Linked DNA regions of Drosophila melanogaster. The protein of the gene in region 1 interacts with the protein of each later gene in a pairwise test. Each region holds a gene or a part of one and is shown on either strand. Other genes may lie near its edges.

What was found.
Region 2: the proteins of AstC (region 1) and CG4998 interact in a two-hybrid assay, tested with the Drosophila melanogaster proteins (one large-scale study listed by BioGRID).

Annotation. Positions count from the first base shown.
Region 1 is NT_033779.5:11,075,634-11,083,122, forward strand, and holds AstC (allatostatin C), read right to left. Parts: upstream 5,767-7,489; 5' UTR 5,521-5,766; intron 1,606-5,520; 5' UTR 1,589-1,605; coding exon 1,490-1,588; intron 1,434-1,489; coding exon 1,294-1,433; intron 1,232-1,293; coding exon 1,102-1,231; 3' UTR 532-1,101; downstream 1-531. Other genes in the region: CG43725 (uncharacterized protein), read left to right, coding at 1-109.
Region 2 is NT_037436.4:16,337,024-16,345,020, reverse strand, and holds the start of CG4998 (uncharacterized protein), read right to left. Parts: upstream 6,019-7,997; 5' UTR 5,873-6,018; intron 4,586-5,872; 5' UTR 4,578-4,585; coding exon 2,805-4,577; intron 2,417-2,804; coding exon 1,535-2,416; intron 1,228-1,534; coding exon 929-1,227; intron 864-928; coding exon 260-863; 3' UTR 1-259.

The DNA.
Region 1 (7,489 bases):
GTGCAATGGCTACAAGATATCCACTCCGGATCGATTGGTCATCAAAATGGAACGACGCGGCGGAAAGTGTCCAACCAAGTTCCTAGAAAGGAGGCGTCTAAAAGTTTAAGATATCGAATAAAGGATCCTAAAGCCGAAAATCAGTGATGGAAAATTAAAGCCTCAGAGGCAATTTACCAATGTATCAAATTCAGTCAAGTGAAATTTAAAAATATAATTTGAGTTTACTGAGATCACCTGCTAAGCAAAATTAAACAAAAACTTAAAAAGAGGCACAATGAGTGTTTTTTAAAAATTTAACTATGACAAATTTTAAACTAGTGATTGGCAAATATATATATATTTATATTATAAGCTCCAATAATTTTAAATAATAATTCAAATTAATTTTTAATAAAAATAAAATGTTTCAGTAACAAAACTGAGTGTTTTTATTGACTTTCAGCAATAAAAGTAATACTTTTATCCAGTAAATGTTTTTACCCAATTATTTCAATTATAAGTCAGTTTTTTCAACATTTGGTCGCATTTAGTTTATTCGTAAATATTTATAACTTTTATTTAGAAAGATATTTTACATGTATAGTTTTGTGTAGGAGGTATTAGATGACACCAAGTTTGCATTCCTGTTTGTTGTTCTAATTACTTGTATTATACATTAGCTGGGACACTTAAATTTACAAAAGCACACACATTGAGGAATGCAGTTTTAATATATAAATAGCTTATTGAAGCATTGTATTTTATTTTACCACACCATATGCAAAGCGTAAATCAAGAAACGAAATATTTAAATTTCAAACTTTTGTGCTAATATTCAAATAAATAGGTACATAATTTATTTTTTTTTTTTGGCAACTACAATGGAACGAACATTTTTTCATACGTTTCGTAGACATTCAAAGGATAAGTTGTATATATATGTATATGGATATAGTTGAGTCTTAGCTTTAGTTTAATTGCTCTAAACATTTGCGTTTATCCATTATGCTAATCTTTGTGTTGTGGCTTATTTTTTTGGTTTTGGTTTGTTGAAATGCTTGAATTGTTAGTTTAACCAAGAGCTCTGGGTTCCGGATATTCTTCCCACTGTCCGGGAACTTACTTCCTAAAGCAGGAGATGGGATTAAAGTAGCACTGCCGGTATCTAACTTGACGTTTGCTCTCGGGCAGCCGATAAAGTTCATTCACATTGCCGTAGGTGGGACTCCTCAAATAGGCGCTGTAACTGCTATTAAAGTTAATCACAATTTGTCATTATCCACAATGGTTTCAATAGTGCTTTCGCCTTACGTGGGTCTGTATTGGGCAAAGAGCATCTGCAGCCGATCCATTGGAATATTGGGATAGATTGCCTGGGCTGGCATATCGTAGCCACCTCCATAGGCGCCTCGCACGTCCTCCGCGTCCTGGCCATCAAGTCCATCGGAGTCCTTAAATCGAACGAATAAGCTACATTTGTATCACGTTCTCCAAGGATATTACTCACCGGTCCTGTTTCGGCACCCGAAGGTCGGGCCTCGCTGAGGGCAAAGAACAGGGTGAGGAGTAGGCCGTAGCACAATAATATCTGCACGAATTTCATCATTTTTAAACGCTTCTGCACTGAAAGTATTAAAAAAAAACAGCCTTGTTTAATAGTCAATAGTTATGAACTGTTGTAGCATTCCAATTAATGCAAATGCTTGCAAAACTTCAAAGAAAAACCTCCAGGACTTTGTGCCCCGCTAATCCCGATGCACAAAGGTTGTCAAGAGGCGAGTTCACGCAAAAAACTTCGCCATGAAGTTCAGCTAGCCACATTTTTTAATTAAAGGTCCCGGGATTCAGTGGAATTGCCTTTATACGCATATTTATTATTTTGTAACACTTCAGACACCGTTCAACCTGAATGGCCGTCCAACAAAGCAAATGGCAGTTACTCAAAACACTTGCTGCCACAAACGTGACCTGCATTTCTGCCTTGCTGACGCAGATTGCTGTCCTGAGTACGGTTTTTCACCTTAGCCCGGCTTAAGTGCATTTCCGCAATTAAAAGCGGATATGGAGCTGCAGCTTAAACGATGCAACAACCGGACCCATACGGTCATCCACTTATGCGTTGCATCCGTAATACAATGGTCGATAGTGCAACGTGTGGCAGCCACACAATGGCCAGGGTGCATGGCCTTGTTGGCCAAACTTTAATTGATTTTATCAGAAGCTGACAAAAGACGTGCTGGGGTTCCCTTCATATATGCGATGTATGCGAGTACGTATTAAAGAACTTTCATGGCCTGTTTCGTAACGTGTTGTCAACTTGGTAAAAGTGATTGATCAAACAACGGGTTATTCAATCAAATCTTCAAAGCTATAAAGGTGAAAGGTCACTGATACACTTTTCAGAAGGTATGCAACACAACATATAATAAAGTATCCATTGCAAAAATCAAACGGAGTGAAGGAATCAGATTTATGATGTATTTTTTTGTGGTTACTTTATGTGCATACTAATAAGACTAATACGATAATACTAATTAGTATACAATTTGGATTATATTACATTACCTCCTTCCGCCTTATGAATTATTCATATTAAGTGCAGCTAGATCAAAAGTAATTACTAATATGAACGACACGTCCACTAAAACTGCAATCAGCAACTAATTACTTGAATTACATAAATTATGGCATCATGGTAATTTAAGTGGGTGTGAAATCAAAAGGAAAACCTCTCCCGCAGGACATGAATACATAAAGTGCCCCTGTTTGAACATAAATCCCCGTTGGGACGTGGAAAATGAGGTCATTAAATGACTTTCAGTATCATCATCATAATCATCATAATCATCTGCATGCAACAGGTAAGCGAGAAAGCCAAACCAACGGCGTGGGCATAAAAAGCCATATAGACATGGCCCATCGAGGACCTCAACGTTGTGGCCCGTAAACGTTAACGACTTGTCTCATTTGCTTGCTGCAGCTCATAAAATGTTGCTGCTCCTAGATGGTCCTTAAATTTCAAGCAGCTGGTTATGTGAATGCATTTTGCGACGGAGTTTGTTATGGTTCCAAAAATCTAAATTGCAAATTAGCTCTTTGTTTCGCAGAAATGATCAAACACATTCACATTGACTGGAAAATGGCAAGCGATTTGTAAATGGCCATATTTCCTAAACTATGGCATTTGTTTGGAACTATATTACCTGCTGAGATTTGTATTGGTAGTAGCACTATATTTTTCTGCCACTGAAACATTGATAAATATTGGCTCATATGCGAACATTTTCGTGTATAAATTGGCAAAAGTGCATGCGAATCGCTTAAAACACTTAAAACAAGTGAACTTACGCAGAGATAATTACAATGCCCACAAAGCGGCCAACTAAACTTTGAGCTCATAAAATATTTGTTAGATTAAGCAGCTAGCGGGTGATAAATAAAAACTAATGACGAGGTGGCCAACTTTTGCCCACCCAACGCAGTGGCTTTAGCTGGATCAAATGGAATAATAAAAGGCCAAAAGCGAACGGGGCCCTGAAGACCAACCCAAAGCCAAACATAATCAGGACACATTTATTGCCACCGATAAATAATGCTCGAATGTTAATTGGAAATTTAATCTCGCCGCCGTGGCAGCCAAAGAGTTGCAAGTACTAAAACACAAAGCGTTGAGAGAAAAAAAAAACGGAAAAGAAAAGTGCAATTTCACGTGGCACTTTAGACTTTAAGTTATTATCCTGGCAAACACGGTCGCTTAATTCCGGTTTAATTTCAAGTTCCGTTCACTTTTTTTTTGTCACATTTTGAGCCTGTGGCAATGGGAACTTTAAAATTAGCCAAGACCAAATGTCGTTGGGCAAATATTTGGCCGAAGGACCTGGCGTGGGCTTCATTAATGTGTGCGTCTGACAGGAGCCGGCAGGACGATGGCCGTGTCCTTGGCCAAGTGATTTATCTGGTCATATGATATTTTCGAGGCGGCAAATTAAAATTACGTCAGTCAGTCACCAAAAACTGGAAACTTCAGACATCTTCAAATACGTATCAAGATATTTGAAATGCTTCCTTTTGCCTTCCACGGGTGTGGAGCACTTGAAGTTGTATCGAGTTTCTTTGGGGGATCTGTTTTGTTTTTTGTGGTTACGTTCCGATTTGCGGAAAATGCGGTTCGATGTGGAAGAGTTATTTACCCAATTAGATTTCAAGTTAAAAAGCTGCGCATTCTTTTGAAGTGAAGGATTTTCGAAAATATGTCCTAAAGAATTTGTGGTTTTTTTTTCATTCTACATTGCGGTTAGGGATAAATTTAGAATATATCAATTGCCGCAGGTCTTTGGTTGAATTTTCTAGTACTTTTTGTTTGAGCTACTTAAATATTAATAAAAAGATGTCTATTTTGTTTATTTAACCTGATTATCACAGCACGAAGCGTCTTAAGCAAACAACAAGCTTGCCCTTCTCCGCCAGATTTTCCCCCTTACATTTCAGCGGAAAATTATCTGCCTCATTGATGCCCTTAACCCGCAGGAAAATTGCGAAGAAAACCGTAGGCGTATTCTAATAAATATTAAATGCAATTTGATTGCGGTTTCGGCGGGAATCGACCGAAGCTACAACAAACCAAATCAGAGCAAGTCAACTGAAGTTATTTATTATCAGCAACTCGAATCGAGATTGAAGTCCAAATCAAATGAGGTGAATGTTTTGTGCGTTCACCTGATTTTTCTACGCTTCATAAATAATTCACATAATTTTCAATGAGCAGCGGAAGCAGTTCCTCCTGATTTCGTCTGTCATTAGGTGGCTCTGGGAAAGTCCCTGAGGAAATTGATGCTCTGGCATATTCAAAACAAAAAGAAAAGCCAACAGGGTGGTAATATATGGCCTATGAATTGCACATACATATATGTACGTCAAAATGTGGGAGTTTTTCATGGGCAAAAAAGTAACCTTACTTTACCTTCAATGGTGTAAAGGCCTATCAATTTTCAGCAACTTTTATGAACTCAATTTAGGAAGAGCACCTTTGACTCAATTTAAACGAGAAACAAGCAAATTGTCTTTAACCATTCATTGAAGACATTTTTTTAAAGGATATTTCAGAAACTGAGATGCACTTTGAAATTATTTAGATACTTTATTTATTTTAGTTTTTGTTCACTAGTTCAAAAAGAAAATTCTGAATATTGTTCATATTTCTAATATTTAACTATTAACCAACTAGTTAGAAACATAATTCGAAAATTCTGCATATTTTTTAAACGTTTTTGACCGTAATGCGTAAAATATATTTGTGCTATATTATTTTAAAAACATCTAACATGAAGATTTCTATTTCGTTGATATTAACTGTTTCGATTTAACGCAAAGAGTGTAACTTGTACGATATGATATCAGCGGCTATAATTCTTGTGCCCTGCGATATTTCACCTGTGGCACAATTTCCGCGCCCACAAATTAATTGTGGCAGACACATAACTGCCCAATTCAATTAATCGCCGAATTCCAATTGGCGCAGGTAAATAGTATAATACTTACCGATACTTTTCGTCTGGATGAGATTGGGAATCGCCGGCAATGAAATTGGCGTCGGTAAATGAGAAAAATCTGGCGCCGGGAAATTCGTCAATCGGTAATTTGCGAATTATTTGTGTTAGTTTTTCGGCCTTGATGTGGAGTTTCGTTTGGTGGGAAGTTTGGATCTGATCCTTTGGTCGCGTTAACTAGTTGCTGTTGTCGCTCTATCGATGTGAACGCCAAGAAGGGAAATTGGTAACTCGATGTTGGCGATGCCTGCCACTGGGCTTTATATACAAAATAGCAAACAGCACCCAGGGCAGCGACGCCGGCAGCGACAGAAGCAGCAGCAGCAGAACCAGCAGCAGGAAGCACGAGCTGGCGGAACGGCCAGGAGGCTGAGGGGGCTGAGGGGGCGGCCCACCGGGTGGGGGTAATTCGTTAGGGGGAGTCTGCTTAGGCAAAGCTTTATGCCTCATGTCAAGCGGCACTGCAGTCAGCAGGAATAACACTTGTTTATACTACCTGGCAGGCGAGGAGGGTTGATGAGGTGCACAGATCCTTGAGTAGATTAGCGCTATATGGACGCAACTAAAAACAAGATAGGCGAATAAGACATTTTTTAAGATCTAGGGTCATTTTATTTGCATGAATCGTAATGATGTAGAAATATCACCGATCAAAATTAAACGTTAAGTTAAATAAATTAAATAAAGCAGCACAGGAAACTTTTAAAATGCCTTCAAATAAACCATTTTAATAACCAATTAAAATATAATAATACGGTTTTGAAAGTTTGCTGGCAAGAAATAATATTCGTATGTACCATTTTAATTTTAATTTCCGGTATTTCCTTAAATTGAAAGCTTAAAAGGACAAAAACTCAATGGCATAGGGCATCTTCCCGTCGCATACTCCCTTCAAAAATGCCAACATCCAAGTGCTTTCTGCCCGTACAATGGGGCGTATGAACAATGTGCGACTTATTAATTCACCACACGGACATGGACACTGTGGGTAGAATACGTGGACCACCCACAGGCACCGCCTACCATTCCATTCGCTTGGCGTGGTGAGTAGCAGCGAGTAACGGCACCTGTTGCTGATTAGCCCGACTCGTACGAAACCTGTTGCATACTTAGCAGCGCAGAGCACAGTATCTATGACGTTGAGATTACACAAAAACGAGTCGAAGTGCATTTAGACAGTAGGCTGGTAGGCCATACATCCGTCATTGATTTATGGCCATTGATAGGAAAATCGCGCCATGTGCGAAAGTGAGATTATGGCATAAACACACATAAAAATAGATACCCATCGGCGGTAATCTAATAATATAAGGTTGCATAGCATTCGTGGAAAATTAAGCACTTCCGCCGGCGAAAGCAGTGCATTTTAAAAATAATTATTACAGATGGGAAAATATAATATAAAATATAATATAAAAATATTATTTTAATTAAACTCATTAAATTCATCTTACATTTTACACTCATGCTGATTGCCGGGTATCTGTTAGTCGAAAAAATGAAGTTAGTTACTCACCACTTGTGTGTGCTTTTCGAAATCGACTTTTGCTCCCGATTCCCATCAATTAACGCTGGCAATTAGATGTACATAAAAGTCTATTAATGTGTGCTCCAACAAACTCATTAATGGCCACTATTGGCCAATAAAACTTTGCCTATCAACTTCGCAGCCAAGGTGGCTAGGCAATAATCGTGCTTTGCACACTTAAATCGATAGCCGGTTTAGTTTAACTGTTCATTTATAGGAAGACTGTTGGCCCATAGATAATAATATACATTGACTTTCAGTTTGATAGTTGGCAAAAAGTTCAAGCAACTGATTTGAATTTAAAAGGCGGAAAGGTTGATTGCAAAATTGTGTACCTTGAAATTATTTTTCAAAAGAGCACCGAAAAAAATTTTGAAAATAAATAATAAAAACTTAAGAAATTTATATAAAAGAGAATATTACGTATACGCAC
Region 2 (7,997 bases), on another chromosome or scaffold:
GAAGGGAAGTGAATCATATATATAACAAAATATAACAGGTATTCAAGGAGACATCCGTAATAACTAAGAGTGATAAATACGATGACGAATGCCACTATCGAAACGATTCGGTCGGTAGTTGGAATGCGAGAGTGTTGAAAGATGGCTTCGGTCAGAAGTGGAAAACGAACTCATCGGAGGAGGTGTCAACCGGAACGGATCCGGTGATATTCGCATGGTAGCCAGTCACCTCCTCCTTGTCAGTCTGCTGATCCGTTAATCATTGATAGCTCTGGGTGATCTGTTGGATCCAGGGCAGGTAGGCGGAGACCTTAACGTAGACGCCGGGAACGTTCACCTGACCACATCCAATGCCCCAGGACACCACTCCGACCACGTGCATGGCTCCATTCCGGTCGCACACCAATGGGCCACCGCCATCACCCTTGCAGGCATCCTTGCCCTCCTCTCCGCCGGCGCACACAAATCCGGGATTCAGTTTGTAGCTATAGCCCAGACGCGTGTTCCTCAGCTGGGACTCGCACTGTTGGTGCGATAGGATTGGCACATCCACCTCCTTCAGAATGTTCTGGTACTTTCCGTGCTCGCCGAAGGCATCCTTGCCCCATCCAGTTGTCCAGCAACGAGCTCCAGTGAAATCGGAATACTTGTCGGGCAGACAGGCGGGACTAATGTGCGGATTCTTGGTGAAGTCAACGGGTTGATCCAGTTTCAGAACGGCCAGATCATTGTCCAGAGTGCCGGCATAGTACTCGGGATGGATGTGCACGGAAACCACATCGCGTTCAATGTAGGGGAAGAACTCCACATCGTGGTTGACATCCCATTCGCCCAGACGCACACGAAGATCGAAGCCATTTTGACTGGATAGAAAGAAGCAATTGGTTAATGCTCTGGTGAAATATACTTTTATGACTCTAGAACTTACGATTTAATGCAATGGGCAGCGGAAATGATGTGCTGGGCATCGATGAGCGTGCCACCGCAGGCGTAGATCGACTCCTTGGGATCCTTCTTCAGAATGGCCACATGCCAGGGATACTCGCCGAACTCACTGTCTCCATCAACGTAGACGGGATTCTTGATGCGACCGGTGATTCCAGCGGCGTTCCTCACTCCACAACGACCAAATTGCTGGGGAGGAGCCTGGGGACGCAGTGGACGACGGCAGCAGACTTCGTTGATGCGGCAGGTCTTTTCCACGGGTCGGTTTCCATAATAGGCACGCTGGAAAATATCAAGGAAGGCAATCGCAATTAGATAAATGTTGGAGGAATGGGTACAATCTTATCTGGATTTGAAATGTACTTTGAATGCCATATAACTTTTCCTAATTACCATCAATGATTTAATCAATAAACAATTAAGAATATTTATAAAATGTGGGGTTCTTTGACTCTTAAAAAGTTTTACAAAATAGTTACATAATTTGGGACTGAACTTCTCATGAAATTTTTCAATTTTGTAGTTATGGACTTTAGTACTCTATTGACGCTTTCGAATGAACTTTAATGCTTTAGCCACACATGGTTACCTGCTCCTTAGGAGCTGCTCCCGCCCACACACCATCCTCAACGCTCCTGCGCCTGCGATCCCGTGGGAAAGTGATCCGATCACTGCCAGCTGCCTCACCAGGAGCCGGAGTGGGAATGTTGTAGAGGGGTCCCAGGTTCAACTGTTTGCCACGACGACCGGAATTCGATGGCCTGTCTGTATCACCACCGCTCACATTGGCACTTCGCTCCACATGCTGTGAGTACTCGCCATAGCCCCCGAAATCGGGACTGGATCCGGGATATATAGAGTTGAAGGAGCTCTCGTAGGGAGACGATTCGTGGTGGTGATGATACTGAACAGAAGGCCCACTGTGATACTCAAATATGGGAGTACTTGGGACCATTTCCACACTGAAATGGAGACCCGGTCCAGTTCCTCCATAGAAATGCGGATACGAGTGGTGGTCATGGTGATCGTGGTGGTCATGGTGATCGTAATCGTGGTGCTCATAGCCACTATAATGATCGTGATGGTGGTAATGTGTACTATACGCTTCGGTGGGCTTCCGCTTAAAGAAGTCTCCCACTTTCTGAATGAGATTCGCATTGGGAGTGACATGCAGATTGACCAGTGGCTTCACCACCTTCTCGCCATATTCTGTTTTGGCCACCTGCACCGATACCAGAGGATTCACATTCACCAGACCCAGATTCAGACCATTTGGACCCACCGAACCGAAGTACGGGTTTTGAGCGGGCACATGATCACCCAGAATATTCGAGGGATAACCTCCATACCCGCCAGTGGGATAGGGCAAACCAAAGCTGACACCGTAGGTGGGCAGCACTTTGCGTTGGATCAGCTCGATGGCCTGGAGAGCGGGCAATGCCAATGGAGATCCTCCGAGCGGGGACTGTCTCTATTTGTTGGTAAGGGGAAAACATAAGAACGCTAGAGGTGGAGTTCCATTTCTGATTGCCGGTTGCAGGTTGCATGTTTCGGGTTGCAGGCGTGCGATCACAAAGGTCGTGCTTGGTTAGCTGGTTTAGTTCTGGGATTAGTGACTGGTCTAATCGGAACCGATTTGCACTCTGGTATTTTAGTTGAGCTTGGAGCGTTGAACGATGGGTGCAGTTGTCAGATTGGTTTGATTTGTTGATTGACTGATTGATTTGTTGTTTGATTTGAATGTGTGTGTGTGTGGGAGGGAGGAGCTTGGCTAAAACTCGATTAGTGGTCCATGTGAACCATGTGTGATTTGGCATTAGTTGGGCACTACTTAAACTAATAGACTTCTATGGACTTACCCCTTGAGCATCGAGTGAGAGATCGCTTGCTTCGTCATCCTTTTGATCAGCCTGGCGGCGGGTGCGCTTCTTGTCATCCTTGTCCGCCTTCTCCTCGTCCTTCTTAGCCTCAGCAGTAGTGGTAGCATTGCTGGATAGAGCATCGTCACTCAGAGCCTCAATGTCCTTGCCCAGGTTGCGGGGATCAATAGGCAGAATGAGATCCTCCTTGCGTCCAATGCGATCGGCAGCGGGACACTGGGAGATGGGCACACACTGGCAGTCGACGATCTGCTGGCGCGAGGTGTCATATCCACTCTGGTACTGACCCTGACCCTGGTAACCACCAGAGATGCCATTGTACTGATTGGATGCTCCACCTTGCAGCTCCTTCTTGTAGTAGTCGGGATTCTGGCTGTGATAACTGGAGCTGGGCGATCCACTGAATCCTCCAGAGGAACTGCTGCCAAAGTTTCCTAGTCCTGAGTTGGGCTTGTAGAGATCTCCAGAGTTTGGTTTGTACAGATCTCCAGTGGGTTTCTGGGAGATTCCAAAACCGTTCTGCGAAAGAAGTCCACCCTGAGAAGCACCATTAAAGCCAGCATTGAAGGCATTGGACTGGGAGTAACTGGATCCGGAAGAAGTCTGAATGGAGGGAGTGTATGTGGCAGATGATTGGGCCAGGGCACTGAAGTCGGTGTTAATGGTCTGGCCAGCTCCGATGGGAATTGGCACACTGGGAACCTTTGCTCCCTCGCCACCTTCAACATGGTGATAATGATGATGCACATGTTGCTGCAGACCATCGAGCGGTGCTCCAACCACCACTTTGGTGCTGGAGGATGTGGCCGAGGCGGAAGAAGCTGAAGACTGCTGCGAGTAGAAACCATTGGGAGCAGAGCTTGCACCCTGGATGCCACCCTCGGGGTTCTCGTAGTTGTATGGAGGAACTCCATTCGAAGCACCAGTAAAAACGGGTCCAGCTCCCAGAGAAGGACCTCCGGTGTAGATGGGTCCTGGTGGCTTGCTGTCATAGATCAGGGCTCCGGGTGGTGGCTTCGTGTAGGTGATACCGTCGGATGAACCGTCAATGGCGGATGGTGGAGGATGCTCCAGGTAGCCACCGGGTCCAGATGGCCTGTAAGGTCCAGACATTGGCTTGTATGGTCCCTCGTATCCCACCTTCCTTGGCGGTCCAAAGGAGTTCACGGAGCTGGGCGGAGGTCCAAAGGAGTTCAGGGAGCTTGGCGGAGGTCCGTAAGATCCAGGAGGTCCACCCATTGGTGGACGACCACTGAAGTAGCTTGGTGGGGGCATGGGCTTAGCCGGACCATAGGGACCACCGCTGAAACCAGATGGTGGTGGGGGACCCTGGGCATAGATGGTCGAGTAGAAGGGACGCTTCTCCTCCACATCGCAGCTCATCAGTCCCAATCCACACAGCTTATCCCGGATAAGATTGCGGGCCTGCATATCGTTTCCCTGCTGCAGAGCCTGATCGATATTGCCATCAGCATAGACGGCATCGTATTCCCCCAGATTACGACCCTCACGGCGGGAGTTGATCAGCTGCTCGATGACCTCGTCAATCTGGGTGGTGCTGTTGCTCTGGATGGACTCGTGGACGAGGTAACGTCCCTGAATGTCAGCTTGTTCGGCGGGCTTGGTATCGACAGATCGGCGACTGGGCATGGCATCCTCCATGGGCGCCCACTCATTTCCCCAGTTGGATTCCTCGGCCAAGGAGGCGGTGGCCAGCAGTACAACTGCCAAAAGGCTAGTTCTTATTCTCATTGTGAAGCCTGTGAAATGATTAGATAGAAAAACTTTAGGATACCAATTCTCTAATATCTACGGATATATTAATCAAGTGATTGATTGACCATCTTTGTCGCCTTTTCTTTTGAGTGGAAAATAAATTAAGAGGTTTAGTCATGATTGGTTATGACATAAGTGGCGAGCTTGACACCATTACCCCAAGTCATTGTGCCAGTTTACATTTCTCCACCTAGCCACCGATCCCTCATACCATCTTTGGCTTAACCAATCCGTAACAAAACCGAATCCGAAGCCCAAACCGGTTAGCATCACGAAATCTTCACCGTGACTCAGACTCTCGTATAAGACTTTTACTTTCATTGGAGGTCGCAGACCGTAGCACTTAATTGCCTGATTTTGTACGTTACTTTTGCTCGAAATGCGAGTCGGGATGGCGAGGGGATCGCTGGCTTCAGGTCCCCGTAATTTATGAGGTAATTTTCCTACAGATTTAGCAAGCCTACGACTGCAATCCCACCGAAGACCATCGCTCAACTTGATCTCTCGCCCTGACAGCCGCTTTCCGCTTCGTGTCTCTTTTATTTGGTAAAATTCACTTTTCTTTTCAGCCTTTATTTTTATGGTCGTTTGCATTGCAGTTATGTCACCGGCTCACAGCGAGGGCGGATTTTGTAAAAGATCGGCTACACTTAACAAAAAAATCAATTATGAATGTAATATTGGTTTAAGGAGTAACTAATAGGATAGCCAGAATTATAATTTTGCCACTCGGAATTATATGCTTAAGTAAGAAGATATATTTATATTTTAAATGATTATGTAAACAGATCTGATTCATCTAGAGCGGCATTACACACTACAATTTCGAGTTATATTTTATTTTTTATGATTTTTTTCAAGTATATATTTTCCAGTTATGTAAATGTATCTTTGGATTTCTTTAGGCCTGCTTTTTCGGCCGGAAGTTGTGCGCAGCGTTGCATTGCAAATTGCCGGCAACTTTTTCGCTTGGATTTTCTTTGGCGAGAAGTGCTCGTAAGCGATGCTAACTGCCGTTTGGTTGGGTTTGGGAAATTTTTTTAGGTTTTTCCTTTGTGTTCGCAGTGAAAGTTTCGCTTGTTCGATTGGCTTAATGACGCGGAGGCTCTTGGCCAAGAGTTTTTATTAAGTGTATGTATGTAGGCATATTTGCAACAACCATAATTTCATGTGCTGCAGACTCATAATTCACATCTAATAGCCATTCATTTAAATTAGTTCGCTTTCGGTTCACTTGAGTTCACTTTGCTAATTTCGCTCACTTCACTCACCTTTTTTGTGTCAAGTTTATTAATCCAATTGGTTAGTTATCACTGTTGTCCGGATAATCCTTATGCAATTTACTGAGTCTCTTATCCTTTCACTTCATTCACTTTCTGCACCGATTGTGCTCTTCGATGCTCTGCAGATCGTTCACTGATTTCGCTTTCGTTGGCCGCGCACATTTTATACAAAAGCTGTGCATGCGCGCCGTCGACGTCAAGCTCCAACGTTTCGCTGTCTCTGTCTGCATTGATTCCGTCTTCTTCTAGCTTTCATACCGCCTTAGTTTGCGAATCGGTAGCCCAAAACAAAAGATACAAAAGCGGCGACGGCGACAATGTTTGGCAACCCCTCTTTTTCGCTGTTAGTGTTGATTTTTCGTCTGGGTTTTTTCCTCAAATCCCCAATTCTGCCCAACTACTGGAGGTCAGTAAACGAGGCGGAAATAGGCGGAAATATCACTATGATAGCTTCATTATCAGTAAGAAACCCAGAAACTATCATCACATTCAACACATCTCTTAAACATAACTGACTGTCTTAAACATCCAAATGGGGCTTTGTTTTTTTTTTTATGATTTTACCAAATTTTAAATAACCAAATTTAGCTTCCCGGAAAGGCGTTGCTTGAGAAACCGGGATTATGCAATTCTGCAATTATGAATTGGGTCAGAGAGTAGCAACCGCTGAATAATAAAAACATCGTGAAAAAGGGTAAAATTGGGCATTGCCTCAAACCGGATCTTTTGGCATACATTCATCTTTCCCCATTTTTTTTTTACTTCATACATCTGCCTCTCTTTTTGGTTGCAGTTCAGTTCAAATCGCCTGGTTTTTAACCCATGGTCAATGCAAACGTCATCGCTCGGTCACTCGTTTCATTTTCGTTTATTTTAACGTTTTTTTTATTTAACCTAGCTCACTGTGAGTAAAAAGCGCTTGGCGGAATTACCCGAAGTTCATAAAAATTAGAGACATTCCCCCCAAACTTATTCACGATGATCACGTTCGCGTGCCACTACCTTAAATCCCAATCATTATCAGGTTTGCGTTTGTGTTGTGTATGGTCAGTGCTGCCCGGCCGGAGTGAGTCTCATTGTGATTCAGTGGCTCCAGTGGCTTCCACTTGTGTTACTGACCTTGGTTCGATGTGCTGCAGTCGTTCATCTAGCCCCCACCTAAGTGGCGTTTTATGTTAAGCATTCCAAGAAAGTTGATAATGACCAACAGAGCTTCGAAAATTATGCTAATCACATTGATTTTTCTCGGGAGTTGTTATTGTCGCCACTCTGGGCTGTTTGCCAAACACCTTTTGGCTATTTGCTCGCGATTAATTCACGAAGTTTTTATCAATCAGCGTAGCGTGTGGCGTAGTTTTTGACCATCGGGTTTTTTATGACTCATACTATCGAGCACTTTGGGCTTTTCGAAGGAGGTGCGACGAACCTTATTTTGCATCGTTTTTAATTCCGTTTGGCTTACCTTTTTTTGGGGGTACATCAATAAGATGGAAATCGATTTTAATACATTGTTAATATAATATCTATAAAGGGTTTTCCGAATGTAAATATCAAACTTATTTAAATGTACGTTTCAGTAACTAATACATCTATTTTCGTTTGTTATACTCTGGTCTGAAAACTAGCATACATGATTAATAACTCATTAGGTCTTAAAAGCTTCATATCTTATTTAAATATAAATATTTAGATAACATTCAAACAACCTGATATTTGCAGAACAATATAAATAATGTGTTGATTTTATACGTTTTTATAAGTTTTAATTTAATCTCATCTATTACAGTGTATCTACGAATGCGGCTAATTGCTATCTACAATGATTTTCCTGATAAAAATAATTTTGGTAGTTAGCTGAAACTTGGCTATTGGTAAATCCCAGTGAGTGATGAACTGAACTTGAACTTGGACCTCGCCGGAGACAACTAATGCCAGGTGGACAGTTTGTAATCCGATGGGGTTACAGGTTCAGGGGCTTGTTATTGGATCTGCATTTCGGATTTGGTATATACTCATATCTATTTATGGTGCGCTCCAACATTTTGCACATTTCTTGGGCCGCACTATTACAACATAGCCTATGTTGATTATGGCCAACTTGTTAATTGTTTGT